2 linked regions of the Mytilus edulis genome follow. The protein of the gene in region 2 purifies or fractionates together with the protein of the main gene of each other region. This does not show direct contact. Links are inferred from orthologs where the notes say so. Each region holds a gene or a part of one and is shown on either strand. Other genes may lie near its edges. The genes, in order: vesicle-associated membrane protein 4-like and syntaxin-8-like.

Region 1 (16,803 bases), on a different chromosome or scaffold from region 2:
TATTTTAACAAAAACCAAGGAACTACTAAAATTATACTGTTCTCCACACTGAATATATTTCTGATGTATCATGTGATTTGTGCATACCTGCCAACCTCTGAAACCTTGAAAGAGGGAGAGATTTTGTGTAAATCGCATTTTCAAGTGAAAAATATGACCTGTTTATCTATTTATTTACAAAACACCAAACATACTTTATTTCTTCAATCATGGTTATATCCTATACAAGGTGTGTTGTTGTTAGGTTTTTTTCCCCCCTTTTCAATACCTCTGAGTGTACATGTGACAGAGTTGTCTAGCCTCAACTGGACATTTGACATTTCCAGCTAAAGTATCTTTTTATCAAAAGATAGGTGTGTCCCTTCAGGCCAACATTTACATGATGATGGTGGAAGTGTTTAACGACCTTGACTGGCTATACAAGCCTTGCATGGTCAACATTTACAAATAGTTCAAAACATTTCTTATAAATTTCAAATTAAACATTGAAAAGAAGTATAGATCTATTTAATTTTTATTTGTCCTTAGACATTCAAATCATTAAATAACAATCCTTTTATGATTCTTTGTTCAATTTGTATTTAATTTATATTCTTTTATTAATCCACATTATTTTACTTAAAACATGATTAAACATAGGAAGTCACCCGAAATTTCTTTGAAGTGTTTTCAAAATACACCAGGCTTGAGGCAAACAACGTTAATGTAACATTAATTGTATTATATTTGACACCCAAGGTTGGGCGGTAAATACAGCCCCCCGGTATTTACCAGTGGTATTTACCGGTATTTGCCGCCCTGGACAATACTCCCCAAGTGGTCAATCCTGGCAAATACTGGTCAATTGAAATTTTCATGGTTGTTTTCACTTTTAATTGAAGTAAAAACATAATAAAAAGTCAAATAGATTTAAACTTTAATCTTAAAAACAAGTGTCAGCTTTTATAGATTACTGAATTTGATATGTTTTATTAATTTATAACACTCATTACTACTTATTTGAAATTAAGTTATTATGAATTATGATATTACAAGTAATGGTAAATTAAACTACAGGTAAATGAAGTTACATGCATCTTTTTACCTTTTACCTGGATTGCTAGGTGTGAAAATTTAATTACTAAAACAACAGCCCCCAATAAATGTTGACAATACATGGGTGATAAAAGAGATATTTGAAGACTCCCATAAATAATGAAATATTTCCTGTCTGCTTAACTGTGAGACAAAATCCTTTTTCATGCTGAAAATGGAAAGTTTGAAGCTTCTGGGGGACAAAACATTTTGTACTGTTACTATAATATTATAATATTTACTTATCAATCAATGTAAATCACTGTGTATTCAAAGAATTTACAAGAGGAATAGAAATGAAAGCCATTAAAAATGATTTGAACACTTTAATTAATAGTAATTGACCAGGTAGAGAGTGGTTTTTATAGTAGTGACCACTCAAAATTTCAATTGACCCGTATTTGCTGGTATTTGCCAGTTTTTCCCGGTATTTACCGATATTTACCACTGGCATGGTCAATACTAGTTTACTAGTATAGTAACCTTGCCAGTAAAGCCATTCAATTTCACATGGTCTGTGATTTACAGGTAACACCTACCCATGGCTCATCGGTGACAAAAAACATAATAAATGTTGTCAGACTGGTCAATCTGGGTTAAAATATCTGAAAGTCAGAGATTTTATACTCCTGCGCAGAGCAGACCAGCAAACTAGAGATTTCCAGAATTAATTAAGCCATTTGAGCGGGAGTCTCCTGCTAAAAACAGGAGGGTTGCAATTATGCTTGTGTGTGTAAAACGAAATCAGACCTGGAACTTTTAATATATCAAATGTTAATATGTGTCTTCCTCTCTGTTTCTGCTAGATATCTTTTTATGCAAACATTGAAATTTATGCAAAATAAAGGTAAAACAAATAGTATTACCTGATTTATCCTGTAAATCTTCAAGATTGTCTCCTCTGTCAACAATTGTACCTGATTTATCCTGAAAATCTTTAAGATTGTCTCCCCTGTCAACAATTTTACCTGATTTATCCTGTAAATCTTAAAGATTGTCTCCTCTGTCAACAATTTTACCTGATTTATCCTGAAAATCTTTATGATTGTCTCCGCCTTCAACCTGTAAATCATAAAGTTTGCCTCCCCTCCCTGTCAACAATTTTACCTGATTTATCCTGAAAATCTTTATGATTGTCTCCGCCTTCAACCTGTAAATCATAAAGTTTGCCTCCCCTGTCAACAATTTTACCTGATATATCCTGTAAATCTTCAAGATTGTCTCCCCTGTCAACAATTTTTACCTTATTTATCTTGAAAATCTTTAAGATTGTCTCCCCTGTCAACATTTTTACCTGATTTATCCTGTAAATCTTCAAGATTGTCTCCTGTGTCAACAATTTTACCTGATTTATCCTGAAAATCTTTAAGATTGTCTCCCCTGTCAACAATTTTATCTGATTTATCCTGAAAATCTTTAAGATTGTCTCCCCCTGTCAAAAATATTAACCTGATTTATACTGAAAATCTTCAAGTTTGTCTCCCTTTACCTGATTTATCCTGTAAATCTTCAAGTTTGTCTCCCCTGTCAACAATTTTAGCAACATTGTTCTGCATCACATCAATAACCTCATTTACTTGGCCCTGTAATCTGTAAAGTATATAATTGGTAATAGTTTACTTGGCCCTGAAATCTGTAAAGTATATAAATGGTAATAGCATAAAAATATAGTATATATACCAATACACATAATTAACAGCGCCTGGTGATGTTTCATAGCCTGACCGGTTTCGGTCCAAAAAGGACCTTCATCAGAGGCAGAATGGTGGATTAATGTTTGCACCCTATTTATATAGATATGGTAACCGGCGGTTGAGTTAACCGGCGGTTGAGATTAAACCGGCGGTTGATATTTAACCAGCGGTTGAGTTAACAAACGTTTGAGATTTAACCGGCGGTTGAGTTAACCAGCGGTTGAGATTTTACTGGCGGTTCAGAGTTAACCGGCGGATCAAAGTTATCCAGTGGATAAATATGTATCTGGTTGATGTCTAAACAGGTTAAATTATCCTTTCAGTGAAAAATCCTCGTGGGGTTTCCATGGTTACAGTTATCTATATTTAGCTAATGTATACGTTACAGTAAACTTTTTGACATGTTACAGTAAACATTTATTTTGACATTATACCGTAATGTCACCTAATGATATAACCATACTTGGGCTTTAGCATTGGGTAAAGGGTGTTTTAATAATTTAAGAAGTACATGGTAATCATTTAGTCTTGATCTTTGGCTTATGATACACCTAAATATCAAGTCTTGGAATAGTATTTCATGGTAGTTATGTGATCTTGATATTTGGCTTATGATACACCTAAATATCAAGTCTTGAAATTGTACTTCCTAGTAGTCATGCAGTCTTGATCTCAGGCTTATGATACACCTGAATATCAAGTCATGAAATAGTAATTCATGGTTGTCATGCAGTCTTGATCTTTGGCTTATGATACACCTAAATATCAAGTCTAATAATAGTATTTCATGGTAGTCACAAAATTTGGTTTAAGGGGGGTTTTTGACTTGATGTTTTGGTGTATCACAAGCTAAAACGTCAAGACTGCATGACTACCATGAAATACTATTATTAGACTTGATATTTAGGTGTATCATAAGCCAAAGATCAAGACTGCATGACAACCATGAATTACTATTTCATGACTTGATATTCAGGTGTATCATAAGCCTGAGATCAAGACTGCATGACTACTAGGAAGTACAATTTCAAGACTTGATATTTAGGTGTATCATAAGCCAAATATTAAGATCACATAACTACCATGAAATACTATTCCAAGACTTGATATTTAGGTGTATCATAAGCCAAAGATCAAGACTAAATGATTACCATGTACTTCTTAAATTATTAAAACACCCTTTACCCAATGCTAAAGCCCAAGTATGGTTATATCATTAGGTGACATTACCGTATAATGTCAAAATAAATGTTTACTGTAACATGTCAAAAAGTTTACTGTAACGTATACATTAGCTAAATATAGATAACTGTAACCATGGAAACCCCACGAGGATTTTTCACTGAAAGGATAATTTAACCTGTTTAGACATCAACCAGATACATATTTATCCACTGGATAACTTTGATCCGCCGGTTAACTCTGAACCGCCAGTAAAATCTCAACCGCTGGTTAACTCAACCGCCGGTTTAATCTCAACCGCCGGTTAAATCTCAAACGCTGGTTAACTCAACCGCTGGTTAAATCTCAACCGCCGGTTTAATCTCAACTGCCGGTTATCTCAACCGCCGGTTACCATATCTATATAAATAGGGTGCAAACATTAATCCACCATTCTGCCTCTGATGAAGGTCCTTTTTGGACCGAAACCGGTCAGGCTATGAAACATCACCAGGCGCTGTTAATTATGTGTATTGGTATATATACTATATTTTTATGCTTTTACATTTCTCTCACTGATACACATAGTTAATATGGCTTCTACTAACGAAAGCTCCATTTGGAGTTAATGTGTTTAGAGACTTCTTATGTCAGTATACCTTTCCTATATTGCCTATATAAATGGTAATACTTATATGAGAACAAGAAGATGTGGTATGGTTGAAAATTACACAAAAACAACAAGTGAAACTGTGATCTACAGCTCACTTATGATACCCCTGCCAAAATATTTCAGTAAACAGGAAGTTGTTGAGTGAAAATGCATCACAAGGTATAGCTGACTCATATAAACCCTGAAACAAAATATCTGAAATTCTTCTAATGTAGTTCCTAAGAAAAATGTGAGGAAAAATAATTCATGGAACAGGCAGACAGACAGAGTGCAAACTTAAAGTCTCCTTTGACTTCATCGGTAGGACGAATAAATAATAATCTTTGGACCATTCCTTGATTTTTATAGTTACCTGTTTATCTTTGGATCACTCCTTATGTTTCCGGGTTTGACATTTGGACCTCTACAAATAAATATAAACATTTGTAAGAATAAATACACAGCATATGTATGCATGACAAATCTTACCTATTAGCACAATAGCAAAACCTCAAATACATAATTACTCAAAACACTATAATAAGCAGTTGTAATATATTTGCTATGTAAAAGTCAAATCTACATGATATCCTACAAATTTTAAAGAATGGTATATAAAGTGATAATTTTGAACTGGTTCTTCATAACATTAATCATATTAAGTGTTAATAAACAAGATTTTATTATAATTTAAAAAAAAAAATCTATGATTATTTAGGAAACACATTTTTTTCTCTATATTTTCCCAGAATGAAAATGCACATACATGCATGTATAACAATATTTTGAGACATTAGAATTTACCAGTGAGATACATAAAGAAAATAAATTATCAAATACTTTAAACTAAGCTTGTTTATTTTTACTTCTTACTTTACATGCTATAGGACTACAGTAATTCTATAATAAGCAACAATTGCTCATTTGTTTTTATTAACAAGATGAGGTTATACCTTTGATGCAATAGGGGTTAAACTAGCAAAAGGAACCCAGAAGAGATTGCAATGCTATGCAATATATTTTATACTTTACGCTATTGCTACTCATCATGTAAATGCTACAGGAAAAAACTCACTTCAAGAAGAAATCTTCTTCATCTGAATTTCCATCAAGAAGTGCTCTCTGCAAAATAAATAATGGTATATATTACACATATACATGTTGTGTAGAAGTAAAGTAAAAGTGTGGTCCAAATGAGGACTGACTTGCTTTGAAGAAACACAAGACAACAAACCAAGCTGTTGGATTATCAGGTAACTCAACCATATATATGTCTAATAAGGCTGAAATATGTAAGAATTTTGTCACAGGTTACTAATTGGTGAGGGGTCTGATGGGTTATTTTCCTTCTTCGTGATCGGCACACTTTCGCTATCGTGATGCGATTTTCTACACATTTTTTTTTTAATATTTTCTTGATCCGTGATCATGGAAATTTATTTTCTGTGAATCGTGATTGACAAAAAAATCAACTTGTGAATCGTGATGAGACACCCCCCCCCCCCCTTAATATACAGTGGATTCATTTTTATTGATAGGATATTAATTTAGTTTATTGTCTCAATACTGTATGCCATAACCAGTTAATGTAAATGTGTTTGTGATAATAAATATTGTCTTTTATTTATTAATTTTGTTGATTTTTTGGGTTTAAGTAAACAATGGAATTTGAAGTCCTACGAAGTTCAAATTTTATATAGGTCTGTATGTAGACTTTGGCTAAACATTGAATCAAATATCAATGAAAATGCAAATTTTACTACAGCCATGAAAATTACTGAATCCACAGTAGGTTATACTAGAAATGTATCATTTTACTTCATTACACCTTGATTTTTTTTCTCACTAAATTAATTTCAGTGCTGGGCGACAATTTTACATTATTTTGTTCGCAGAATTGACTGGTAAATAGTGCTATGACAATTTTCAACTTTCTTTTTTTGCTTTCTGTATCATGTGTATTATCTATAAGCAATGTGTTTGTCATGTTGTTTCCACAACCAATATATAATTATCTACACATGAGGTTCTGGATGGAGTTTACAGAATAGAGAATAATGGACCAAATCTACAGAAAAATTGTCAAAAAACATAAATAATATAGATCTAGAGAAACAGAGGGTGCTAATTAAGAAAGATAACTAATAGAGAAAAACTACCTTAAAAATTAAAGAACACAGAAATGAAAGATTCTTGAACATATGTCATACAATTGGAAAAAAATTTCACACAATTGGAAAAATTTGTAAGTCACTAGTTCAGTAACTTAATTGGTGGTAAATACAAAAAATATATAAGTCTTTGTTCATGCTGTATGGCTGTTATCTGTTTAAAAGGCTTCCTTATTTGATGAGGTGCTCCCAAACTGACTTAAATAGACTGGCACATTTTTTATCAATTTCAGATTCTGTCTTACTAAATCATAAGTCTACAATCTTAAAATCCTTCCTCTCCTCTTCTTGAAAAGCATGAAATATTTGCTACTGTACATAAAGCAACCAGCAATCAATCATCTTAAAATTCTTAGATGATTTTTATTTTTAGACATTTACTCAGATAGAGAAGAAACATATACATATGTATATAGAACTAGATGTTCAATGTAAACCTGGTAAGATTGGAGTCAGGTGGAGAAATTATTGATTAAATCATTAGTGTGTGACAGGTGGCCATTATACTTAGATGTTAAGCTTTAAATGATATTTTTATGGCTACATCATTGGAAATTCCTTAAATAAGATCTAAGTGCAAAGTTAACTTTAAAAAGTCCACAAAACCCCATACTAAGGACTAAATAAGCAACCATTTAACTTCAGGTTGGTGGGGAGAGGAGGTGTTATTTTTTTTTTATCTACAAAGCTCAAAATTATTTTTCTAGCTTTTCCAAGCTATCAATCGAATAATTTTTTTCAATTTTTAATACTGTAAGGTATGGGGGATTCAGAATACTTTTTTTGTCATCTGCTTGGCCAGATAATTATTTTTCATCATACATTTCATATTGGGTATCAGAATTATTTTTTTCGAAAAATAACCATAACCCTTGTTGCCAAACAGCATATGTTAAAGATTATTTACAATGTACATAAATAAACCTGCCACATTATTGACAAATGTATGTGCTTGTCCCAAGTCAGGACCCTGCAGTTCAGTGGTTTTCATTGGTTCTTGTCTGTAATATTTGGTTTTTTTTCATCAACATGATCAATGGTTTTGTTATAAATTAGGCCTTAATTTTTTTCTATTGAATGGTTTGATGTTTTTTAGCTCATTTTTGAAGGTGATTAGACAACCTGGCAAGAACTGTACACATAAAAGTGATCTAAAAAAAGCAAGACAAGGATTTATGCAAAAATATAAACAAACAATGTGCATGTGCTCATTGCCTGACATTGGTTTCTTGCATTTGATCTGTCACACATTGTTATTTTGATGACCGTCTTATGCATGATTGATTGTTTTCTAATGTTGAAGGGCGAAGTGCAACACTCAAAATGTTTTAAACAGTGAAAAGTGCTTTATTTTCTTCTGATAGATGACAACAGACATAAAAAAAAAGTCATTTTGGACTTGGATGATGCTATATGTACAATACCGTTTCAGCGCTTCTGGCTCGGTTAGAATCCATATTGTCATGTTGTCTGACGAACTTTGGTGGCATTTTATAAAATTGTTGACTTTTTATCAAATGACAGAGTCCTGTGGTGATTTACAGAGGTTTTTCGAAATACATGTCAGATGTCAGTTTTGTTGTGATCAAACCGGAAACGTGTGAATAATGAGGCTACACTTACTTGTAACAATCAGTATATCCGGCGTACGGCAAAATCTGGCTCATCATCATCACGCCCATCACCGATCAGATTTATCGAGACAAATACTATAATTGTTTGTCTGTAAAATCAAAGGGTTAAGACACACTCGCTATGGGATAGTATATAGTATAGTGTTTATTTTTTATTTTTAAATGTTCATTTTGGAGGCATTATGTTCATTTGTGAAATGATGTTCATTTTGTGATATATTGTTCATTTTGTGATATATATGGTCATTTTTTATTTAATGTTCATTTTGTGTTATGTTCACTTTGAATGTTCATTTTGTGGCATTGCATTCATTTTGTTGTATGATGTTCATTTTGAGATTAAATGTTTATTTTGTGATGTAATATTCATTTTGTGACATGATCTTCATTTAGTGACATGTTTATTAAGTGAAACAATGTTCATTTTATGGCATGATGTTCACTTTGTATGTTCATTTTGTGACATGATGTTCACTTTGTTGTATGATGTTTACTCTGTAATATAATGTTCATTTTGTGGTATGATGTGCACTTTGTATAATACTGTTGTGTGATACAATGTTCATTGTATATTATATAGAATAGCCAGTTCTGCCATCTTGAAAATAAGATAAATCACATTTCCTATCCCAATATAATATTGCCTTCTATACTGGAGTTCATTTTGTGGCATGATGTTCATGCTAGACTGGTAAACCGCCCAATTATTTTAGTTATCTTTTTTTGGGGGGAGGAGGTAACCTAATTTTTTTTAATTAAATATCCTAAAAGCAATGGTTTTCACTGCAATTTTCCATATATCAATTTCCCAGTAGCTTAACTTCTTTAATAAATGCCCCAGCTTGCATACAACATTATAAAGGGATATAAATCAGGAACAATAAAAGTGACCCATATTGCACTTGATCTGAGTTTTGTGGTAATAAGTAGTGTGTATAGGTTTCATAATGTTTTGCTGAGGCAAACTTAGGTTTATGTGGTTATAAGCATTGTGTACAAGTTTCATAACATTTGCTTGAGGCAACTTGTTAGAGAACAGAAACTAAACATTTTGCATTTTTTTCCATTTATAAAGGGCATAATTCAATAATGGTTATAGTGACCCAACTTATTTGTGTACAAGTTTGATAATATTTGGTTGAGGCAAACTTAAAGTTCGAGAACGGAAACTCAAAATTTTGCAATTTTCCACTTTTAAAGGAGCAAAACTCTTGAACCATTTGAGTGATGCTACCAAATTCTAACTTGATCTGCGTTTTGTGGTAATAAGCATTGTGTATAAGTTTCATAACATTTGGTTAAGGCAAACCTTAATTTAATAGAGAACGGAAACTAAAAATTAAGCAAATTTTTAATTCATAAAGGGGCATCACTCTAGAACGGTTAAACTGACTCTACAAAAATTCAAACTTGATCTGAGTTTTGTGGTAATGAGCATTGTGCATAAGTTTCATAACATTTGGTCGAGGCAAACTTAAGTTAGAGAATGGAAACTAATCAAAGTGCTAGATAACACCTGTGGAAAGATTGGAAGAGTAGTTTGAACAATTTCATATAAAGGTATGGTGGGGACAAAAGAACATTAATAAAACAGTATTGCTGAAAATTGCATTAACAGCAGGGTTCTAGCAGGAATAAAAGTGCTTTTCCAGTATGAAGATAAAATGAGCTCAAATAAAATAATATGGGTCTCTAAATTTGCACAATTTTATTGAAACTGCAGTTAATATCTTATCCAAATAATGTTGCCTGTTTTTTACATGTTTTAAGGACCAACAACTGAAATTTAAAGTGTCAACAAATATAATCTAATAATTTCATTTTGGGGCATTTTGTAAGTTGACGCATAGGTTATATGACATTTTTAAAAGATTAAAAGTTGTAGAGTGCCTTTTGATCAATTTATAAAGTATTTATTCAGCACAGGGCATTGAAAATGTAGTTTTTCAAAGTAAACAAATTAAAAAACTTATTTTATTGAAATGCAGATTTTTCTTGATAGCAAAAATATATATCCACTTCTTATAAAAATTCAAATGACTAAAATAGACATGTATAATGATTGATGGGGAATAAATTAATAACTAGAGGCTCTAAAGAGCCTGTGTCGCTCACCTTGGTCTATGTGCATATTAAACAAAGGACACAAATGGATTCATGACAAAATTGTATTTTGGTGATGGTGATGTGTTTGAAGTTCTTACTTTACTGAACGATTTTGCTTCTTACAATTATATCTATCATGAACTTTGCCCATTAGTAACAGAGAACTTTATTTGGTAAAAATTTACATAAATTTACCAAATTAATGAAAATTGTTAAAAATTGACTATAAAGGGCAATAACTCCTTAAGGGGTCAATTGACCATTTAGGTCATGATGACTTATTTGTAGATCTTACTTTGCTGAACATTATTGCTGTTTACAGTTTATCTCTAACTATAATAATATTCAAGATAATAACCAAAAACAGAAAAATTTCTTCAAAATTACCAAATCAGGGGCAGCAACCCAACAACCGATTGACCGATTCATCTGAAAATTTCAGGGCAGATAGTTCTTGACCTGATAAACATTTTTATCCCCAGTCAGATTTCCTCAAAATGCTTTGGTTTTTGAGTTATAAGCCAAAAACTGCATTTTACCCCTATGTTCTATTTTTAGCGGTGGCGGCCATCTTGGTAGGTTGACCAGGTCACGCCACACATTTTTTAAACTAGATACCCCAAAGATGATTGTGGCCAAGTTTGGATTAATTTGGCCAAGTAGTTTCAGAGGAGAAGATTTTTGTAAAAGATTACTTTAATTTACGAAAAATGGTTAAAAATTGACTATAAAGGGCAATAACTCCTAAACGGGTCAACTGACCATTTTGGTCATGTTGACTTATTTGTAGATCTTACTTTGCTGAACATTATTGCTGTTTACAGTTTATCTTTAACTATAATAATATTCAAGATAATAACCAAAAACAGCAAAATTTCTTCAAAATTACCAATTCAGGGGCAGCAACCCAACAACCGATTGACCGATTCATCTGAAAATTTCAGGGCAGATAGATCTTGACCTGATAAACATTTTTACCCCATGTCAGATTTGCTCTAAATGCTTTGGTTTTTGAGTTATAAGCCAAAAACTGCATTTTACCCCTATGTTCTATTTTTAGCCGTGGTGGCCATCTTGGTTGGTTGACCGGGTCACGCCACACATTTTTTAAACTAGATACCCCAATGATGATTGTGGCCAAGTTTGGTTTGATTTGGCCCAGTAGTTTCAGAGGAGAAGATTTTTGTAAAAGTTAACGACGACGGACGCAGGACGACGGACGCCGGACGCAAAGTGATGGGAAAAGCTCACTTGGCCCTTCGGGCCAGGTGAGCTAAAAAATGGTTTGTTATAAATAAAAGTTTTAAAATTTTAAAACTGTTCATCAAGCCAATTTCTGATAAAAAAAAAAGTGAACTAACCTAAATTGTTGATTTATTACAGATGATTATTGGAAATTTATCAAGTAAATTAAAGGCCTAACTTGAATACCTTTTATATATTCATATTTATATTTATATTTCATTTTTTTTTAAAGATCGTGTTAATCCTTAATTAATCCTTAATTAATCATTTATCTTTCAGACATAATTTACAGAATCACTTTATGTAATGTAGATCAAAAGTAATAGGCAATAAATAAATCTATCATCCTTATATATCAAACATTTAATATATACATTTGTGTATTGAGATGTTTATTGGGCCTATACAATTTTGTAACACTGATGTAATGTGGTCAATTTGATTGACAGTTTAGGTGGGGCATTGTAATTTACGGTTCACCTTGTCCCTGATTGTTTGGTGATAATGACAGTTGTCAATCATACTAGTATTGTATCAATACTCAATTACCTAATCAAAATGCTTAAAACAAGCCTGCACATCAACACACCTTAATTACATACATTATTGAATGAACTGCTCCAAAAATATACCCATTTTTCACAGTTTATATGTGTATTATGTGCAAATACATGAGAACTATAGGGAACTATATTTCAGAGTGAATACATGCAGTAATAGTAGCTAACCTGTTGTGTTGTTAGGAAGGCCAGTGCCTAAGGAAAGATTTAGAACAAGTTCCAATCTTTCCAAAAATTAAGCAATTTTTCCATTTATAAAGAAAGGGGCAGAACTCTAGAACGGAGAAAGTGACGCCACCAAAATTGATACTTGATCTGTGTTTTGAGGTTATTAGCATTGTGTATAAGTTTCATAATATTTGGTTGAGGCAAACTCAAGTTAGAGAACAGAAACCAATTTTTGGACATACGTACGTACATACAGACGGTCAAGGGCATAGAAATAGGTTATAAACACTCATTATCTCACTCCTCGAAGACCTTGCTGATATTAACTTTTGATATAGATTTCATTTAGGTTTTCCAACTTTGTTGATGTATTTATATCAAAGAAAATCATAGTTTAGAATATTCATGATGAACTAGATTGCGCTATTTTTCTACTAACAAGAATTATTTTGTAATCAGTATAAGCAAGGTAAATACAGTCTATTGGTAGACAACACATCCATACCAAAATATTACCAAATAATTTTAGTTCATACAAAACCATTTACCACTTCTGTTTATTACAAGACAAATTAAAACAAGAATGTGTCCATAGAACATGCTCCACTTGCACTATCATTTTCTATGTTCATCGGACCGTGAAATTGGGTTAAAAAAATCTAATTTGGCATTTAAATAAGAAAGATTATATCATAGGAAACATGTGTACTAAGTTTCAAGTTGATTGGACTTCCATCTTCATCAAAACTACCTTGACCAAAAGCTTTAACCTGAAGCAGGACAGACAGAAGGACAGACGGACGAAGGAACAAACATACAGATGGACAAACAGACCAGAAAACATAATACCTCTCTACTATTGTAGGTGGGGCATAAAAAGATATAAAAAAAAAAAAAGTGTTTTCATTGATAAATTTAAATGCATAGGTAAAGGCAGACATAGATATAAAACACAGAATGGTGTAATTTTTTTTTAATAATATCAAATGTACAGCTGTCATAGAACATTTTTACAAATGGGACTATCTTAAAGAAAAGTACAACGATGATAAGAAGGTGGGATATCATGTCACATGACACAACAAATGTACTAAATACATGCTGACAAACTTACACTGACATCATCGAGTTACAAATAACTAATCAAAATTCATCTAGTGTATGCTGTTTTAAACCTTATGTACAAAAATTTGAATGACAAAATCACAGCTAAAAAGATGTTAAATAATCTTAGTTTTTTTTACCAAAAGTCTTGAAAGTTAACCACTAGAAATTCAAAATAATCAAATCTACTTTGAAGTTTAATTCAATTGATTTTCGACAATTAAAAAGTCAATAATCTATGATGTTTTTTTTCCAGATACATGTATTATAAAATTTCTTTAAATTACCAATCAGAAACGACATCAGAAAGGCTGTTTTCTAATAACAAAATAAATTTGAAGAGAGTTACTCACAACAATACAGCACACAATAACAGCTATAAAACACTAATTCATATAAAACTGATGGATAAAAATAGTCTACCGGTATATATAAATACAATATTAAATGGTAAAGATCATGATTAAAAATATCTATACAAAATTTTATCTACATATAGCTACTAAAAATGTTTTTGTAAGTTTTGCATATATTTGGCACATAATTGTTGATGTATATGAAGTGATAGATACTCCATAATGAACTGCTTAATATTCTGGGTGAAAATATAAATTAATTTTGATACCAATCAACCTTAAATACCCCTTTTTATATTTTACTAAAAATGTTTTCTTCCAAAGGGGAAAAAATTACAAATACAAAGACTCCTGGTCTATTCACATGTATATATCTACTAACCTAAAAATTGATACAACCTCCTTATAATAAAAGTTTTAATTGACTTCAAATTTTAAATGTAGTAATGACTATTGAAGTTAATCGGAAAGGTCAAAAGATTCTTTGGATCTGATTTTCAAACTAGAAATTATAATTCATATTTAATCTAAGTATACTGGTATATTCTAGTATCCAGTCGTGTGTAAGGTGTATTTTGACTACATATGGGGCGTTACAACCAGTGTGCATTGCACAACTTTGTCTTTTACTACATTTATGAATACAATTACAAAAGTGAAGTATAAATATCTGTACAATTTAATGAAAGAACTGATAGTCTTGCCCTTGAGTAAAACTTCATCACAAAACAATGTAAAAATAGCACCATTGAAATTTTACACATTTAAGAGTAAAGTGTTGATGATAAATATTCCATCATACAACCTATTATCAAGTAACTTTGCAGAATAATCAGATTTTATTAAAAAAAAAAAAAGCTTGTCACCTCAATGAATTCATTAAATTGCTTAATAATACTATAATATGTTCACAAAAAAAGTCTCTATAAATGGAGAGGCAGGTTAAATTATTTCAACAACCACTATATCTCAAAGCATAAAGATTTGTTTTTAATATGCAACATGATTTAATAAGCATTTGGTAATTTTACAACCTGTAACATAACAACTTAAGATTCCAATTTGAATAGCTTGATATACTCATTTTGAAATAAATTGCTAAAACCAATGGTCTTTTACACATGACGAAGCAAGCAAGCGTTTGAATATCTAAGGATTAATACTAAAGGATATCTGCCTTTATGACGCATGTAGGATTTTTTTACAATCCCTTAAGTGTGGTATCTGCATCTGCAAAAACTAATGCCAAAAAAATGAAAACTTCAAAACTGCAGAATATTTATCCAAATATAGAAATTCTATTTATGTTTAAAGCATCACAAAAATGATATATAAAAAAGAAGCCTGTCTTTCTGAAATATCTTTATAACAAGAACAGAGTATTCCCACTTGAGGTATATATATTTATGACATATCATCGCAGTTCTCAATCTAAAGGCACTATATACTCATTTCTATGTGTGGTCATGGTGGTTTTGTCAATAAATTCTTTAAACTGGTCAGTCTCGACCCAGTTAATTGTTATCACACAAAATACAATTCTCAGAACAAATTACATAAGTGAACCAACATCTTCCGACTGCAAGTTCTGATTGAGTTACAGAGACAGATACAGTGTTATATTGAGGTCGTATAGAAAAAACACATAAACATAAACGGAACTGAATGTAATTTTAAAATTATAACTTTATACTTTTCAACTGTAAGAAAAAGAAAAAAATATATTACCGGCAAAATTGAAACTTGTCTTGTTGTCAGATGGAAGGATTTCAAATGATGCATAATTTAACACGCATGAAATTGCACTTATATTAGAATTTTCCTTTTTTTTTTGAAAATAAAATATATGTCAATTTATTCATGGTTGGGATTTGGAGTTTATATATGGAGTTGAAATTTCTTATCAATTATCCTGAATCATGTTAACTGAGTTTTAATATTTGAGGTAATCAAAGTTCAACTCCACAGTTGAGATATCTAGGCTAAGAAATGAGAAGGATTTTCTGGATCAGGAAATATACTAAAATGTGTCAAATGTTGTTTTATTAACTTGATTAAAATATAAATGATGTGCAAGTTCCTCAACACTGAATTTATAAATTCAAGCAGTGTTAAGACAAATATTTAAATTGAGAATTCATTGATTTTAAATAATGAATGAATTTTGAATGAAATCCAAGTAATAATATAAATGAGATGTGATTATCTACAGGACAATGATTAACACTATTGCTACGAGATTCCACTGGCCTTGATTGTTAACAGCTCAATATTTGTCAACCTCTATTGTTGGAAAAAAATATAGTATATTACTTGAAAAGTTGAGAAAAAATTTATGAGGGAACGACAAATTTAAGACGACGGCTGAATACATTTTGTAAATTTGACAAGAAATTATACAGGAATCAAATTTTTCCTAACAAATTTATAGCCAAGGCTTTTTTAATCTGAATGATTAGAAATCCTTAAATAATGTTACAAAGTAAAAAAAAATCCAAGATCCCAAGAAAACATTCTAAAAGAATACCTGATCATAGGTGCAATCTCACAAATTTTACAAAAATTTCTGATTTAAAAAACATAAATTAGAATACAAAATTGTTATAGAAGTCAGAAAAATAATTGATTTCTAAATATACATGAAAGATATAATACATATGCAAATTGCCTGCAATTCACAAGCATATTGAGAAAATGATTTGAATTGACTAGAATATAAAAGGACCTTATAGATTTAACTGTTCATGAGAAAGCTAGCAAAATAGATAACTAGAAAACAATTCTTATCAAACTTTCAATGAAATAACATAGGCATAAACTTAAAGGTAATATAAGGATGCTTACATATTTTGACATTTTTTTTAAAGAAAAAAAGAAT
Region 2 (16,798 bases):
ATTATAGGAATGTTACTTATTATATAAGACACTTGGGAATTACTGAGAAACATGCGCAGAACCTCATTACATGCTCTGGTCATTATTTCTTACAATAAATTAAAATACATTGTAATTAAGCATGATTTATGTCTGAGCAAATGCTTTGAAGTGATATAGAGAAGCTGTGATAACACCCTTTAGTTATTACAGGCATATTTTTTCTGTAATAACATATAGGTGTACTATTCAAAATTGGAATACTATGAACTGTTACATCTTTCAATAGTTAAGTATACATAAAGACAATAGTAATATCAATAGAACTTGTATACATTTTAACTAAACTTATGAAGTATATTGTCCCTTTGAAACATGTAACATACGTATGTTATCACATTTCTTTGATTTTTTAGTCCACAATAACAAATGTATGTTATTTTCCTGTAATAACCCTATAGAGTTATATCCCTGACTGACAAACAAACATGACAAAGTTTAATTTTGGACCCTTTGACCTCAATGTCAAAATGAATGTGGACTTATTTGGTACAATAGGGCGCAAAATCAAAAATCTAAATGAACAAAAGATGAATGGTACGATTCAGCATACCAAAGAATCCCATATTCAATTTTATTTGAATCCCATCAAACACAGTTTTATTTCGGACCCTGATTTGGATCAACTTGAACATGTTGAATACTGCACCCAAAATCAGAAATCAAATGACATGTTTAAATTCAGCATACATTGTATCTAAATGCATCATTTATAAAACAGCAAGAAATTTCATGAACTACAATGTAAATGGTGTGAACCATCTGACAATACCGGGTACCATTTCCTAAATGTTGTGACTACTAACCATAACCAAGGATTTGAAATTTCCCTATACAAATCCTTGACATGACTAAATTGTGAGTTGGATCGGGTATAAAAAGATCCAAACTTTTATTCTTAAATGACTAATAGAGGGTTATAATTGCCTATGTACATTTGCTACTTATAACTATGGACAGAACTGTGCCTATTATTGCTTATAATGTTTTATGTTTCATTACAGATGACCGTGGTCATTGTTCTACATTAAAGACATGTGTGAATAAATAGACATTGTTCTTATTTAACTAAAATGTGTGCAAAATTTCTGGATCCTTGGTTTTGATTATGAACTCTGATTTGACCATGTTGACTGTTTGGAAAAAAGAACACGACTTTCAATTCTATCCAAAATTGATAGAAATCATCGTCTAAAAATTTCAGATCCTTGCACAAACAATTACTGGATATTGATATTTCTACAAAAAGAGGTCATGGTAAATTATAAACATCTCCAGTCATAAAAAAGTATTTATCAAGTACCATGTACATTGTATATCAGAAAATCAAGATGCTCACCTCATCCTTAGCTAAAGGAATCCATGTTTCCATCAGCAAATCAAGTCTTGAATTCCTGTTTGATTTAGTGGTTTTAACAGAAATAAATATATCAGACTGAACTGTTTTCCTCATCACATTTTTAACATTCTGAATACGGTTCTGTTTTATTTTACCATTTTTGTTTACAATTTCATCTTTTCCCAAGTTTTCATCATCTGCAACAGAATTGACTCCATTTGTTTTTCTTTGGAATTTTATATGGTCAACCACCTGTTGTTCTTTCTGCAGCGATAACTGTCTTCTATAACTTCTCTTAACAAACTTTGTAAACACAATTTGCTTTGTTTGTATGCGTTCTGTATTTGTGACAGAAATTAATACAAGTGCAAGAATAAATGTGACAATCACAAGGAATAATTTGCAAATTCTTCGCAAAGAAATTCGCATCACTTGTCCACAGATGTTTACTTGTGTCTTTCTGCATTCCGACACATTACAATTCATGCAAGCAACCTGTACAATCGCATGCTCAGTAAACTTTCCCACGGTTGTAAACTTTGATTTACCTGGATCTTTGAAAAAAGTAGGTCAACGTATGAGCGATGTGTAAAAAGGTTAAAAAATATTTTAGAATCCAGTAGGGCAACAGTGTCAAGGTCAGATAGATGAGAAAAGGAAAGAAGTTAAATTGAAAATGTAAAAGATGTGTTCTCTCAACGTAAACTTGTTTTATTAAAAGACATGAACATGTAATGTCGATTTATTAGACTCTGTCACCTTTTTACTAACAAAAGAAAAAGTTTGATATTTTATGACAATATTTTTTTAATGAAAAATCATGAGTTGTTTGTATATACATGTATGTTGAGGCCAAGGAAGAGGCCACAACTCTGACATGAACACAGGAAGATTACATTTATCTATAAGTCTCCGCTTAGACTGAGAAATGGACCGATTTTAACACCGAGTGGTAGATTTATCTGAGCTAACATAACTTCTTTTATTTTTTTCAATTGATTCCTTGTACATAATAAATGAAACTTTTTACCCCAAATCCCTGACCTGAAATGAAACTTTAATCTTTTTATACAGATGTTCAGCTTATATTAGGCCTCCAGTATCACAACTTTTCATATATTGGATATTGAAAAATACTTAGTTATAGTTTCTTATTTGTTTTTAACCAAAAAGAGACCTATATGTATCAGGATTTTGTTATTCATAGATTTTCCAAAAAATATGATGCAGTTATAACTACGGTTTAATCGCATCTATAGAAAGTACCAAATTATATTTTGAATTGGGACTATATCACAGTATAATACTATAGTCTCGGTTTTAGATAGTCTAGTGAATACAACAACTGAAAATACAATATTATCAGTCCCGAAGGCAGTGCTTCGGTACCTTCACGATTCTAAACACACACTTACTTAATTTTCCGTTTATAAATTTAGAATTTATCAAGAGAATTTTTTGATTGTTCATATGTGCCGACTATTAATAAAAACATACTTCTTTACCTACTTACAAAGTTATAACGTGCTATTTTTTTTTATCATATATATATATGTTTCTTTTTAATTTCGCATTCTTATCATATATATCACGAAGCTTAAAATTGGTTCTTACTGGGTACTCCCGTCTGACCTGATCAGGAAATTGAATTAAGAAGACTTTGCTTAAAATTCAAATATCTTTTTAATAACTCGCTTCGTGGTGTTCAAACATGAATAGAATTGACAACCAACCTGAATGACCACAAGAAAAAAACACCTAAATACAACAAGAGTGTGTGCTGTCAATCAATAACACCTAATTTTATTGTACGATTTTTTTTTATGACATTCTTAATGAAAAGTAAAAAACAATTGTTCCAATGAATTTTTTTTTTATTACTTCTAATTCTAAAATAATTATACATCCTCCCTATATAACAATAAAAATTATTGCCGAAACGGCTTTAGAAAGTATGGCCGGTACGACGCCGAGTTTGGCCGAAACGACTGATTACGGCCGTACGGCAGTTTGGCCGGAACGACTGAGGTCGAGCGGCAATGTGGCCGAAACGACTGATGCCGTGCGGCAGTTTGCCCGAAAAGACTAAGGCCGTACGCCATTTTGGCCGAAACTACTAAGGCCGTACGGCAGTTTGGCCGATACGTCTGAGGACGGTGCGGCAGTTTGGCCGAAACGACTACGACCGTACGATAGTTGGGCCAATACGTATGAGGACGTTACGACTGAGAATGGTACGGCATGTACAACATGTAGAGAGCCTCTGTGTAGTGGTTAGTCCATCGGACTACTAACACAAAGGTTCCTGCATGGTTCGAATCCCGTTCCGGGATGAAAATTTCAGGGACTGAATTTTCGACTATCCATTGACACCTTTTGCGAGTATGGTCTTGAGGAAACGATGATAGTCTGTCGAAAGGGGACGATAAATGGCTGATACGTGTTAAGAGAGAGCCATATCTCTTGGACGTAAAAGGCACCCTTGTAGATTTCGTAAAAAGAGCAGGCTAATGCCGCTACAAGGCAGCACTCGCACCCGCAAAGTGGAAAGGGATTAATATAAGTTGCAAAACTTGTTTCCCAATCCACTATAAATAAATATGTTTCAACTAAACTAACGGTACGGCAGTGTGTCCGATACGACAAGGCGACTGCGGACGGTACGGCACGGTGGCCGATAAGTCCTCTCGAGTAAGTCCTCCATCGGGTGATCCTCAGATCATAGTCGGCTTATTAGTTAATCCAATTACATGACAGTAAATGGATATCAATAAAAGGAGGTGTCTGGTATGCGTCAACGAAACAGCAACCCAAACGTCAAAAATATCCAAAGTACATCTAAAGGTCTTTAGGTTCAACTAGACAAAGACAGGTGTTCACACAATATGTCCAACCCCAAGTTGTGCAGTAGACGACTCAAAACGTATTGACTACTGCACATAATTGGAGCTGACCGTTACATTATGTGACAATCTGGTTAATATTCAGATCTATCAGAATTCGCTTGCCCCGTCGCAATTATAAGAGGATATTGAAAACAGATCCATATTTTAGATAGATGAGATTGACAACAGATTTTTTTTGCGTTTGGAGTACTCGGTTTTCAACAAAAATCTGCACCAGTCATTAATCATCTTTATTCAAATGGAAGACTGGAAAACTTAAAGAAAGAAAGAAAGAAAGAAAGAAAGAAAGAAAGAAAGAAAGAAAGAAAGAAAGAAAGAAAGAAAGAAAGAAAGAAAGAAAGAAAGAAAGGAGCCGTTTACAGCTGAGTACGAGTGGATTTTGCTCGTTGTTGAAGGCCACACGGCCTTAACCTTATAGTTATATTTATTAAAAATCAGCCTACCATGCAGTATTGGTCACTGTTAAGTAAGTAAGCAAATGTTTGCACCTGTCCTAAGTCAGAAATCTGATGTACAGTAGTTGTCGTTTGTTTATGTAATTTATATGTGTTTCTCGTTTCTCGTTTATATATAGATTAGACCGTTGGTTTTCCCGTTTGAATGGTTTTACACTAGTAATTTTGGGGCCCTTTATAGCTTTTTGTTCGGTGTGAGCCAAGGCTCCGTGTTGAAGGCCGTACATTGACCTATAATGGTTTACTTTTATAAATTGTAATGGAGAGTTGTCTCATTGGCACTCACACCACATCTTCCTATATATCTAAGTAAGTAAGTAAAACTTTATATTTTGATTCGGTATATTGACACACATTACAAACATAAGCTCTAATGACTGAGCTTTTCACAGAATATGTATATAGATGCATGTCTCATAGACAATCATATCACATATCCTTGTTTTATACTGCATGGTACTGTTTCCATTGTTTTAAAGCATCTTAGTGAGGCTTGTATAGGGTATATTGGGATACGGGATATTTGCTATTTTAATTTTAGGAATATGGGATATTTGTCCTAAAAGTAAATGGGATATGGGATATTGATGCATTTATAAGGATATTGAATTTTTAACATGAAAAAAAATAAGTGGATTTAAAAGTTAAGTACAGAAATATTTACATCTCACTTGATAAAATTGCCCAAAAAAGTTTAATATTAAAGGTCATTTTAGTGCTTTGTTGATTTTAATTGAGTTAATGGTCGTTTCATTTAAAAGTCATCCAAACCCAAGCGAAAAGTATTGATCTATTTTCGATATTTATATGCTCATATGTACTAATAATTTTAAAAGCATTTGTTTTGCTTTCCATACTTCGTTCCTTATTGTTGATTTTCCTTTTTTGGATGGTGATGTTCCTTTGGCACTATCTTACAGTGTTTGTATATCACAACACCTCCGCTATGCCCGTGTCTGTTGTAACGTTTTGGATTTTAATGAACGAAATCTATGTATTACTGGTAAATAATATTAAGTCAGGGATTTCGTTACCACAAATCACTTAAAATCTTTACTAAATTCTAGATTTGGTTTTGAAGTTTGGTTCTACCTGTAGAAAATTTATTTCAAACGGGATAGCACATCCTCATTTTTACGGAGAGATGTTGTTTACCGTGCCGTTGGATGCTGGATGTGTAATGATTGATAATTTACTCTCAGATGCATTACTTTTTATTAGTTGTAATTGGCTTTGAACTAGCTGTCAGTAACTGCAAGTACTCTCAGATCTGTACTTAGTGTCTTTTTGTTGATGGGATGTACAAGTACTCGGTCACGTCCACTCTCTGTTTTTGTTAGATGTATTTCTGTTTATATCCATCTGATGAGTTAAGCCCTTTACAACTGATTTGTATAGTTCGTTCTTATGTTGTACTGTTACACCACTGTCCCAGGTTAAGGGAAGGGTTGGGATCCCGCTAACATGTTTAACCTCGTCACATTCTGTATGTATGTGCCTGTCCAAAGTCAAGAGTCTTTAATTCAGTGGTTGTCGTTTGTTGCTGTGTTACATATTTTTTTTTTATACATAAATTAGGCCGTTAGTTTTCTCGTTTGAATTGTTCTACATTTGTCATTTCAGGTCTTTTTATAGCTAACTATGAGGTATGAGCTTTGCTCATTGTTGAAGGTCGTACGGTGATCTATAGATGTTAATTTCTGTGTCACATGGTCTCTTGTGAAGAGTTGTCTCATTGGCAATCATACCACATCTTTTTTTTTTATATTATATGCTCATATGCATTGATAATTTTCTTGAAATAATCATAGATTTTTGTTAGATGTAGCCATCTGATGAGTTAAGCCTTATTGTTGTCAATGTTTTTATTTGTTTTGATGCTTTATATGATTACAGGATATTTTCTAGTGTTTTGCCTCTTATTTTTTACGTGACGTGGCGAGGATCTTCAGAGATCTCCACGTTTCACAGATTGCTCTGATGTGCAACGGCTGTTTTGCCAGACAAGCTGGGGCCGAGGGACGTCAGAGCACGTCCCATATCAAAAAGTAGATATTTTGCTGTATAAACTATGTACTAGTAAATAAAGAATAATTACTATAATAATCAATGTAAATTAATATATTTTCTTCTATTACTGGTGTTGTGAGGAAGGAAATTTAAAAAAAAGTAACAAACATATTGGGATCTATGTAATTCATAAAGTTCAAGATCACAGAGTCAAATGTTGTTTATTTCTTTGCAAAACAAGGGCTGTGCAAATTTTGCCTGCTGTAAAAATATTGCAACAGTTAAGTGTAATGTAGGTAAATTAGCAGAAAGCTTTCTTGTGTTAAATTTTGAGTTATTGAACTTGCATGGTAAATATCCAGTTTTTGATATGGACGTGCTCTGACGTCCCACAGTCTCAGCTTGTCTGGCAAAACAGCCGTTGGATGTCAAAGCAAGAGACAGGGTTCAACTTGAGTCCTTCTGTTCTTTCCAACATAGGTTAACGTGTAGGATGAAGTTTCTTATCAATGAAAGAAGAATGCTATCAAAATTATATTTTACAGTCATATGCATCACGGTTTGAACAATTAAAAAAAAGTCTGAAATTAGACCCCTTACACTAAATTTATCGTTTAACCTCACATAAAAAGAGATTGTTATACAAGGCTCTAAGATGGAACACTTCATCTTTTGGACACATACATTGTATATTCTTATTTAATACTAGAAGTATGCACTAAATTTCCTTTAACACAGTTTGTTTTCCCAGAGTCAAAATTTTTGACGTTGTGATGATGAGGAAAAAAATGGGCTTGGGAATGAATTTATAATGAATTTTTGGGATATTTCAAAATAGTTTTAGGGATATGGGATATTTGTAAAAAATATTTATTGGGATATTAGGGGTAAACATTATAGGGATACGGGATATTGGGATAAAAACTTAATGGGATACGGGATATTGATACCCCCCCTAAACAAGCCTCCTTAGTGTATGGCCTAACTCGGAGAATAGATCCGTCTAATCAATTTCTTAAGGATTGTTTGCCATAACCGAATCCACATCAAACCAGGCACATTTCTCATCAAACAAGTAGGCTAATAGATTACTAATACACTAGTCTTTGATGTCTTAAAAAATCAGTCTGGTGTATATATTATGGGTCTCACTAATTAGCGACAACAAGCGTCAACAAGCGACAACAAGCGTCAACAAGCGACAAGAAGCGACAACAAATGAAACATTTGTGAGAAAGAAAGAGATTGTGAAGTTTATATTAGTATATTGGTAGATGAAGAAATTTAACATTTGTGAAAAAGAAAGAGATTGAGCTTCTTTTTTTTTATTTTTAAATATGAAGAATATGTATAAGATAATGTATGAATCTGTTTTCATCAAAGTCAAAGTATGAATAAACGAATGGAGATATATATGGAGCGGGCATAATGGAATATAATATTTTGATTCATTTGCTTAATACTATGCTCTAAGTGTACTCTTGTTATTTCAATTCGATGCTTTATTTGTAAAACTCTCAGCCACGCTTTGCCATCTGTATTATTTAAGCGTGTTTCCAGAGCCCACGACGAGGACGTGGTTCTACCTTGGGGTCCATATACAGATCACGTACTTTTGCGGGAAAAAAAACCCCAAAAAAGGTCAACTTTCCTTTGAAGGATTTATTGAAACAAAAACATGAAATATTATTTCCTTTCTAACAGTATAATTCATTGTTCTTGATAGGAACAACATTAGATGTGGCTTCCCCTTAAGGTAATAACAGTACACACAATGTGGAACATCAAATGAGATTAACGAGTCGCGTGTCCCCTGTTTTATTGCTACAATAACATCCAATTAACACCTTCAACTTTGTACACACGTCAGACTATACAATTACACGCTAGACTATACAATCATTGTAAATAGTGAACACCTGTTGAAAACTCAAGATTGTCATTAATTTCCTTTCATCTTCAATCAATATGCATAAACATGATAAATATCGTTTAATGAGGCAATAAACAAATAAAAAGATGAAAACATTCACATTTCAATTTTCTTTTCCTCCTGTTTGGTTTCAGTTCTTTGTATTTCACAATTTGTGTCAATATTTTCAGGACAATGATGCACAAGTAATTCATTTTGCGAGCTTAATACATATTGCACGAAAAGAGTTTTAAAATACAAATTATAAGATAAATAATATGTTTTAAAACACAAGAAAAAGTAATCTCATAATACAATAATTAAACGTAATACTGGCTGTTATTCATAATAGATGTAAATAATGTTTCATTTTTTTCTATCAATTTTAACTTTCTTGTCGCTAAAATTATTTTCTTTTGCATATTCTTTTAATATTTATTGCAATAATTAATTTTAATTAAAAAAAATGTTTTCTTGTCGCTAAATAACAGCTAAATAGTTTCTTGTCGCTTGTTGTCGCTAAAATAATTCTTGTTGTCGCTTCTTGTCGCTTGTTGACGCTTGTTGTCGCTAAAATTCTTGTTGTCGCTAATTAGTGAGACCGTATATTATTATTTTATGTTTCTTTAATCACTCTGTAATGTTTATGTCATGTTGTAATAAATGTTATACTCTTAATGGGCCTTTTAATTTGGAAAATAAAAATATTATATTGTATTGTATTGTATTATATAGTCCATTATTTTTTAAACCAGCCAAATAACTTATGTACGGTCTGAGACTGCTATAACACAGAGTTATAGTAGTCTCAGGTACGGTTTTTATCCGCTGATCGATATTACAAATAATAAGAAAAAATTGTTTTGATTTATTCAAGGATTTATATAATAAAATTTATTGTAAATATGTTCTTGGACCAACTTATGTATACATGTATTGGACTAAAATTGTGTTTAGGGTTCAGTTCCCATGTACCTCTTACAGTGACCAACAATTATAGCCTAAATAAAGTCTTACCTTTATTCATTCTAATGTCAATTTGTAAACTTCCGATCACAAGATGGCAAGCGATACTTGGTTAGTAATGTTTAGTATATATATAGCATACAAAAGCTATAGATAAAGGCATGAAACCTACTTAATATCTTTCCTCAATAGTAAAATGATTTGTCGAGATACACATTCAGTAAACGTTGCTTTCATGTAAAAAATAACCAGTGTTTTAAAACAAAAACAAAAAGGGGGAGGGCAGTTTCAAAGCTCCTGCAACCGATAATATTTTTTACATTTATATATTACACTTGAAAACACTTCTTAAATGTAAGTTATATGATTATATAATAGTTGTTCCTGTTCTCTTGTTATAAATCAGATTTTGACACATTTACCATTTTAAGGTTCATGTGGACCCTATGGCTAAAATGGCCGTATTTTCACCTCAAAATTTACTCTGAGTACAGGCAAACCTGTACATCTGGAAAAGTTTTAAGGCATAGCATGCCCTAGATAAATAGAATTCAAATGCATTGTATGATTTAGAAAATTCATAACTTAACTGGATTTTGCCGTACACTTTTTTTCGTCCCTGCAGAAGATGATAAAATGAACAAACAGTTGAGTTTACCTTGATATGGTCCACTCAGGTACACAGTTTAAATAACCAATTATTGTCAGGTATCTATTGTCCATCTCATGTCCATGTCAAGCAATACAGCTCACTTCAATTATTACCTGTGGGGAAGTTCTCAAACCTGTTTCCCAACTTAGTTTATTTTGGCACCTTCTGGAGGAATGAAAAAAAGTGCACGGCAAAATCCTTGTAAGTTTTTATTTTTCTAAAACATAAAACATATTTTAAATTTATTTATCTAGGGCATGCTATGCCTGAATTTTTTTACAGATGCGCAGGTTTGTCTGTACTCAGAGTAAATTTTGAGGTGAAAATACGGTCATTTTAGCCATAGGGTCCACATGAACCTTAAGTAATATGAGGCAGGCATTACCTGTGAATGGGGACGAAGTCTGTATGATTTTTTTTTTTTTAAATCAAACATGTTAAAAAGAGAAATGGAAATACCGTAACGTTTCCGATTTTGGTTCTGTTGTTAAGGATTTTGGTTGTGACGTTATTTAAGTTATGACGTCATATTCAATGTAAACAAAGAAACGCTGTCATCAGGTAATGCAGTGAGGTAATGTTTTTTTTTTTTTATAACAAACAATTTTTAAAAATGAATTAGTATTAAGTTCCTTTCTTAGACTGATAAATATACATTTAATTCAAAGTCTCACATGTCTCATGCAAACAAGAACGGAAATGGAAGTAAATTTCTGCGCAGATCCGGAAATTCAAAATCGCGACAAAAAAAAAAATGGAATAATTTTGAGTTCATTAGTCCACACCAAATTAATTAGTAGTTCTTTGGAAAACCCGCACCTAAATTGCCGAAATTAAAATAAAAAAATAAAAATAAATATCCCACACCTCACCTGCCAACACCAAAAAATAAAAATAAAAATAAAATTCCTGCACGTTGAAAATAAATCCGCATTTTCGACGAACTCGATTCCGGTATAAAAAAAAAATCTTTATCAATTAAGCGTTTGAAAATATACAGTGTTTGTCATTTGTCAAGCATATTTTTGATTCTGAACAAAAAAGTTGCAAAGATGGAAAACATGCTGATTGTTTCTGTGGTGAAACATTCAGACAAAAATAACAACAAGGCATACATATTAAAAAATACGGCAACACAAACAAAATGTCAGACATTCAGGGAACTATATCAAGAAGCCTTAGTTGAAATCTTAGTTATAACATAGGCTTATAAATGGAGGTTATGTAGGTATTTCCATGTTGGTATGTTTTGGTGTAATTATGCCCCACCTACGATAGTAGAGGGGCATTATGTTTTCTGGTCTGTGCGTGCGTTCGTCCGTCTGTCTGTCTGTCTGTCTGTCTGTCTGTCTGTCTGTCTGTTCGTTCGTCCGTCCGTCTGTCCCGCTTCAGGTTAAAGTTTTTGGTCAAGGTAGTTTTTGATGAAGTTGAAGTCCAATCAACTTGAAACTTAGTACACATGTGCCCTATGATATGATCTTTCTAATTTAAATGCCAAATTATAGTTTTTACCCCAATTTTATGGTTCACTGAACATAGAAAAGGATAGTGCAAATTTCAGGTTAAAGTTTTTGGTCAAGGTAGTTTTTGATAAAGTAGAAGTCCAATTAACTTGAAACTTAGTATAAATGTTGCCTTTGATTAGATCATTCTAATTTTAATGCCAAATTAGAGAATTTATTCCAATTTCACGGTCCACTAAACATAGAAAATGATAGTGCGAGTGGGGCATCCGTGTACTGTGGACACATTCTTGTTTATTTTCTGATATTTAATTGTAAAGTAGCACTAGCTAGAACCCCCAGTTTCCACTGTGCTTGGATTGACTGGTTAGTGATCCATATGCATAAACACAAAACACACACCATGCAGTTATGTTACAAGAAGCTAGCTAGCATACTACAGAGGGTGTCTAAGGACCAGAAGGTGCATATACTACAGATGAAAGCAGTGCATATTAAAAGCAGATAGCCATATAAAGTTCATGCATAAAAAAATATGTTCAAAAGTGTATATTTGTGCAGTGTTAATTATACAAACAACAAAACAAAATGAAAAAGAATGCAGAAAGTTGAAATACATATAAAAAGGGAGATAATTTAATTATATCAAATTATGTCCCCTTTCAATTTAGTGAGTTGAAAATTCAGTTGCTTCTTTTAGGTAAAAGATATAAAAATTGAGAGAAAAAAATATCGCTCGCTCCATATTTCTTCAAAATTTGAGGCGAAGAATTTAAAAATATAAATTTAAATTTCGCTCGCTCGCCCCATTTTTTTGGGTTAAAATCTCAAAGAACTATTAATTAATTTGGTGTGGCCTTAGTACAATGAAAAATTCGAGAAATTTTCCTGATTTTTAATTTTTTTTATTGAATTTTCTACTGTAATACATGTAATAGGGGAATTCATCCCCATTTTATTATTTTTACACTTATCAAAAATAATGTTTGAATAATTTGACTGTAATTGATTTTTCAGGTTAAAAGACTATGAAGCCTGTGCTAGTGTTGGTCAAGAACTTATGGTTTTGATCAATGATAGAAATAAAAATGGTCGCACAAGTTCTACATACACAAAGGTAAACAATATGTGTAAAGAAGCTATGGTTAACTTTAGAATCAATGCTTTTGGAAAAAAAGACAAAACATATCAAGGGGACGATAAAAGCTCATAATTTAAAGAAAAATATAGAATAAACACACCATGGTAAAAGAAATACAATCATCAATAAAACACAACATTGGTAACTAAAGATTGAGGAACACTAATCCAACAAAAAAAGGGGGTGCTCAAAAGGGTAAACAGTAATTCGCCGTTTCAGAATCTAAAGAATCATGGGTAATTTCATTGTTCGTACCCCAAAATGAAAATAACGCCATGTCATTGGTTAAATTTCTATTGTTTATGACATTTTTAACCAATCAGGACGTTGTGGTGTACACTTTTGAAAATATTACCCATGATACATTAGATTCTGAAACGGCGAATTAGTTCTCACTCCACATGTAGCACCTGTCATGTTACTCATGTAAGATCAAACCCAGTAATAAGTCTCTGTGATGTCATAGTCAAGCAACATGTACATGTATTGGTGTCTTTTAAACTTTCAAAGGGATGAACCCTTCAATGATTTCCTGTGTGTACTAATGGCTAAGGAAGTCATGATAGGAAATGCAACTTATGGAATGTTGCTACATAGATGAAAGAGTTTGAGCGCTGCTATCATTTTCTTATGTTGTAAATTTTTGTTCTCAACCAACCCTAGATGCCAATCTCTTGATTTGAGTCAAGATGTTGCAGTTTTCATAAAAAATATAATTATTGTTAAAAGGACCATTTGCTGTTTATTGAGTGTTAACCACAAATGAACTGATACATGGATGATAAACAGTTAGTTATAACTAATATAACAGTTTACTTATTTATGTTTTGTAGTTTTCTTAATAAAAAAAAGTTCAAATATAATTTTTGCAAACATACAGTAAAAATCTACGGGAGCATCTCAAGTATTACAGGCATAACCACAGTATTTCCAGAAGAAAAAAAAAATACAATTTAAATAATTAGATTTATGAAAAAAAATAAAAAATATTTCAGCAAAATGCCAAGATATAAATGAATATTTTATTAATTTCTCTTTATCTATCTTTAGCTGTCAGCACAAATTAGAGTTAAATTGAAAACATTCTCAAATGAAGTCAACAAGCTGAGACAGAATTTGATACGAGCATCATCATCATATCATATGTATCCTTTGGTTTATATTATTGAGTGTGTTTCAGTCTACGAGTTATAGCAGTGTGTGTGTTTTTATTAATTCATATCAATTTTATAAATTATATGTCATTTAACCCTGTTTTGGATTTGGAATATACTATTTTTCTTCTTCGACTAACTGACTAATGGGAAATAATAAATGCATGAACTGGAGTGACAAATATTATCGTCTGAATTGTTTTATAATACATGTATGTAAAGATTGCATAAAATGCAATCAAAACCTTGTGGGACCGACTTGATATCTAAATCTTCCAAGGCTTATCACTACCTTTTTGATACACAAGATATAGTGCATTGATCCTGTTACATCCTATCAATGAACATTTCTAGAAACTTATTGATGTAATATATGCTCAGATATTCAACATGTTCAAGGCACAAAATGATGTAACACTTGTCAAGAAAATTACATTACTTTTGCAAGGTGCAGGAATCTTGTATCTATTCTTAAAATACAAATGAAATCTAAATGATGTCATTGTTTTAACAGATACAAAGACCCAAAAACATAATGCCCCTAAGTGGGTCATAAAAATCCTAAATTAGTAGCCTTAACTGTAATTATTAGAACACAGAGAGAAGTTGAACGTAGACAGATGTTAATTGATAATTTAATTACTAAAGAAAAACAGATAAATGAAGCTTTTAAAAATGAAGGTAGTAATTCTAGGTGAGTAACTTGAATTCAATGTTTTAGTTTCATTATAGTTCAAATTGTTTGTTAGTGATTTACTTTTGTATGGCCTGTGATGAAAGTCGCAGAAATTGAGACATGAATGGTTTTATTAAAAGCAGCTACAACTGTTAAGTTTGCTGCAAACCCGGCCACATTAAATTAATAAGCAATTTCAAATGTCAAGTGTTCTGCATAAGAAACTTCTTGTTATAGACCAATGATATTTTATATGAAGTTGCATTACTACCAGAAAACATCAGTTTGAAAGACTTTTTCAAGGCCATGGAGTCAATTTCACAAAAAAAAACTTATGGCTAAGATTGGTTGTACTCTGAATCCATTTGTCAGAGTCATTCAATCTTGTCAGTTCAATTTTTTCATTACAGAAATACGCTGATTGGTACAGATACATTTGGTAATAATGATCCTTGGGGTGTAAAAGATGAACCTGAAGACTTCCAGGGAAGATCTAATACTGAAGTCAGAACACAACAGCAGCAAATTATTCAACGTAAGATCTATTAGTTGATTACACAAAAATCTCAGAGATTGATTTATCTTTCTTCAAACCGTCTCAATAGTCTAATGGCATCATGCTCTTCTCAAGTGAAGGAGGTCTAAGTTTTTTTGAACCCAGATTTATGAAAAAAAATTAAGAAGTGTTACATGTCTTTCTGAGGACTGCAACTTTATGAACAAACACAATAAAAATGTTCTAAAGCTTGCAAATGAAAAATTTAAGATGTTCACATCTTGAGTGCAGAACAATCAAAGCTCACATGCAACAGAAGGAGTTTTTATATATCAGCCATAGTAAAATGTTTACATGAAACACAGATTTGATCCTGATTTGCAGATATCAAAGTTGACATTTAAAACTAACATGCTTTGTATGTAAAATGTTTTAAATACATGTAGTTATATTTTAACACTTTCATACTCATACAAGTTTTTCAGTTTTTACTAAAAAGAAACTAATGTTGTAGAGTGAAAACTACCAAAAGTTATTTATACCAGAATGAATTTGCAATCAAAATATTTTGCATAGTTTCCTTTTGTATGGTTGAAATCTTTAACATAGTATAATTTGGTAATTTTCAGAACAAGACAGAGGTCTAGAATCACTTTCTCATGTTATTACTAGGCAGAAACAAATGGCCATAGATATAGGTGATGAAGTAGACAGTCAGAATGGTAGGTATTATCTCATCTTTTATACTTCTAAAGGAAGAGACTGATTTTAATGAGCCACATCTCCTCTGAAACCATACAAATTCAGAAATATTTGTGATACGATGTATAAATCAAAATGTAGTGTTTGGTACTTCCTAAATTTGTCTTTGAAACAATCTTGTTTTCCACAGAAAACACTTATCCTTGAGAAAATATCCAAATTCAGAGACTGTTAAAGATCCATGTCTTATACACTTTAGAGCATCCTCAGTTGATTCCTGTGTGTAAGGTCACCAGATTTTACATAGCTTATACAGTTATCGAGTGAAAGAGTTAAAAACTACTGAAAATCACACTTTGCCACACTTTTCTTAGGGTATTTGATATATTTATTTTCCAACCTAGATAAATGGGGTTTTGCACATTATGTTCATCATTTTCATCTCTTTAAAGAAATAGAATTGAATGCATTAACCATGTCTAAATTTTCACTGCATCCACCTTATACTGTGTCCACAATCTTTGTTTCAACACTTTCCCAATTGTACCGTGATTTCATGGGCATCTTCTAGTATTTCTAGGTATAAGTAATGATCATAGAGATGCACACTTATTGAAGGGGTATGATTGTATAAAGGGTAAAATTTAGGTCAGGGCTATCCAGATATAAATGGATGGGGGTGTCAACATGCATAAAATTTAAATTGATGATTTCATATAATTGTTAAGGATATCCTCCTAAAATAATCACCACTCATCAAATTTGATTTACAGTGCCTTATGACCCTCTCCATTTGATTAAAGCCTCAATGAAATTGTGGGTATCAGATGGTTTAATTCCATGTGTGCATTCTGTTTACATATTATTCAAAGATTATGAACTTGAAT

What was found.
Region 1: the proteins of syntaxin-8-like (region 2) and vesicle-associated membrane protein 4-like purify together in Homo sapiens (co-immunoprecipitation; 3 studies listed by BioGRID and IntAct, counting the BioPlex papers as one, with this or other methods). This does not show direct contact. The link is inferred for Mytilus edulis from reciprocal best matches to the Homo sapiens genes STX8 and VAMP4.

Annotation. Positions count from the first base shown.
Region 1 is NC_092345.1:21,928,415-21,945,217, reverse strand, and holds the start of vesicle-associated membrane protein 4-like, read right to left. Parts: upstream 8,369-16,803; 5' UTR 8,243-8,368; coding exon 8,177-8,242; intron 5,704-8,176; coding exon 5,657-5,703; intron 5,006-5,656; coding exon 4,955-5,005; intron 2,665-4,954; coding exon 2,564-2,664; intron 1-2,563. UniProt on the Homo sapiens protein: Involved in the pathway that functions to remove an inhibitor (probably synaptotagmin-4) of calcium-triggered exocytosis during the maturation of secretory granules.
Region 2 is NC_092352.1:44,206,604-44,223,401, forward strand, and holds the start of syntaxin-8-like, read left to right. Parts: upstream 1-9,638; 5' UTR 9,639-9,721; coding exon 9,722-9,738; intron 9,739-12,759; coding exon 12,760-12,859; intron 12,860-13,933; coding exon 13,934-14,028; intron 14,029-14,629; coding exon 14,630-14,731; intron 14,732-15,123; coding exon 15,124-15,248; intron 15,249-15,838; coding exon 15,839-15,931; intron 15,932-16,798. Other genes in the region: beta-1,3-N-acetylglucosaminyltransferase radical fringe-like, read right to left, coding at 1,379-1,864. UniProt on the Homo sapiens protein: Vesicle trafficking protein that functions in the early secretory pathway, possibly by mediating retrograde transport from cis-Golgi membranes to the ER.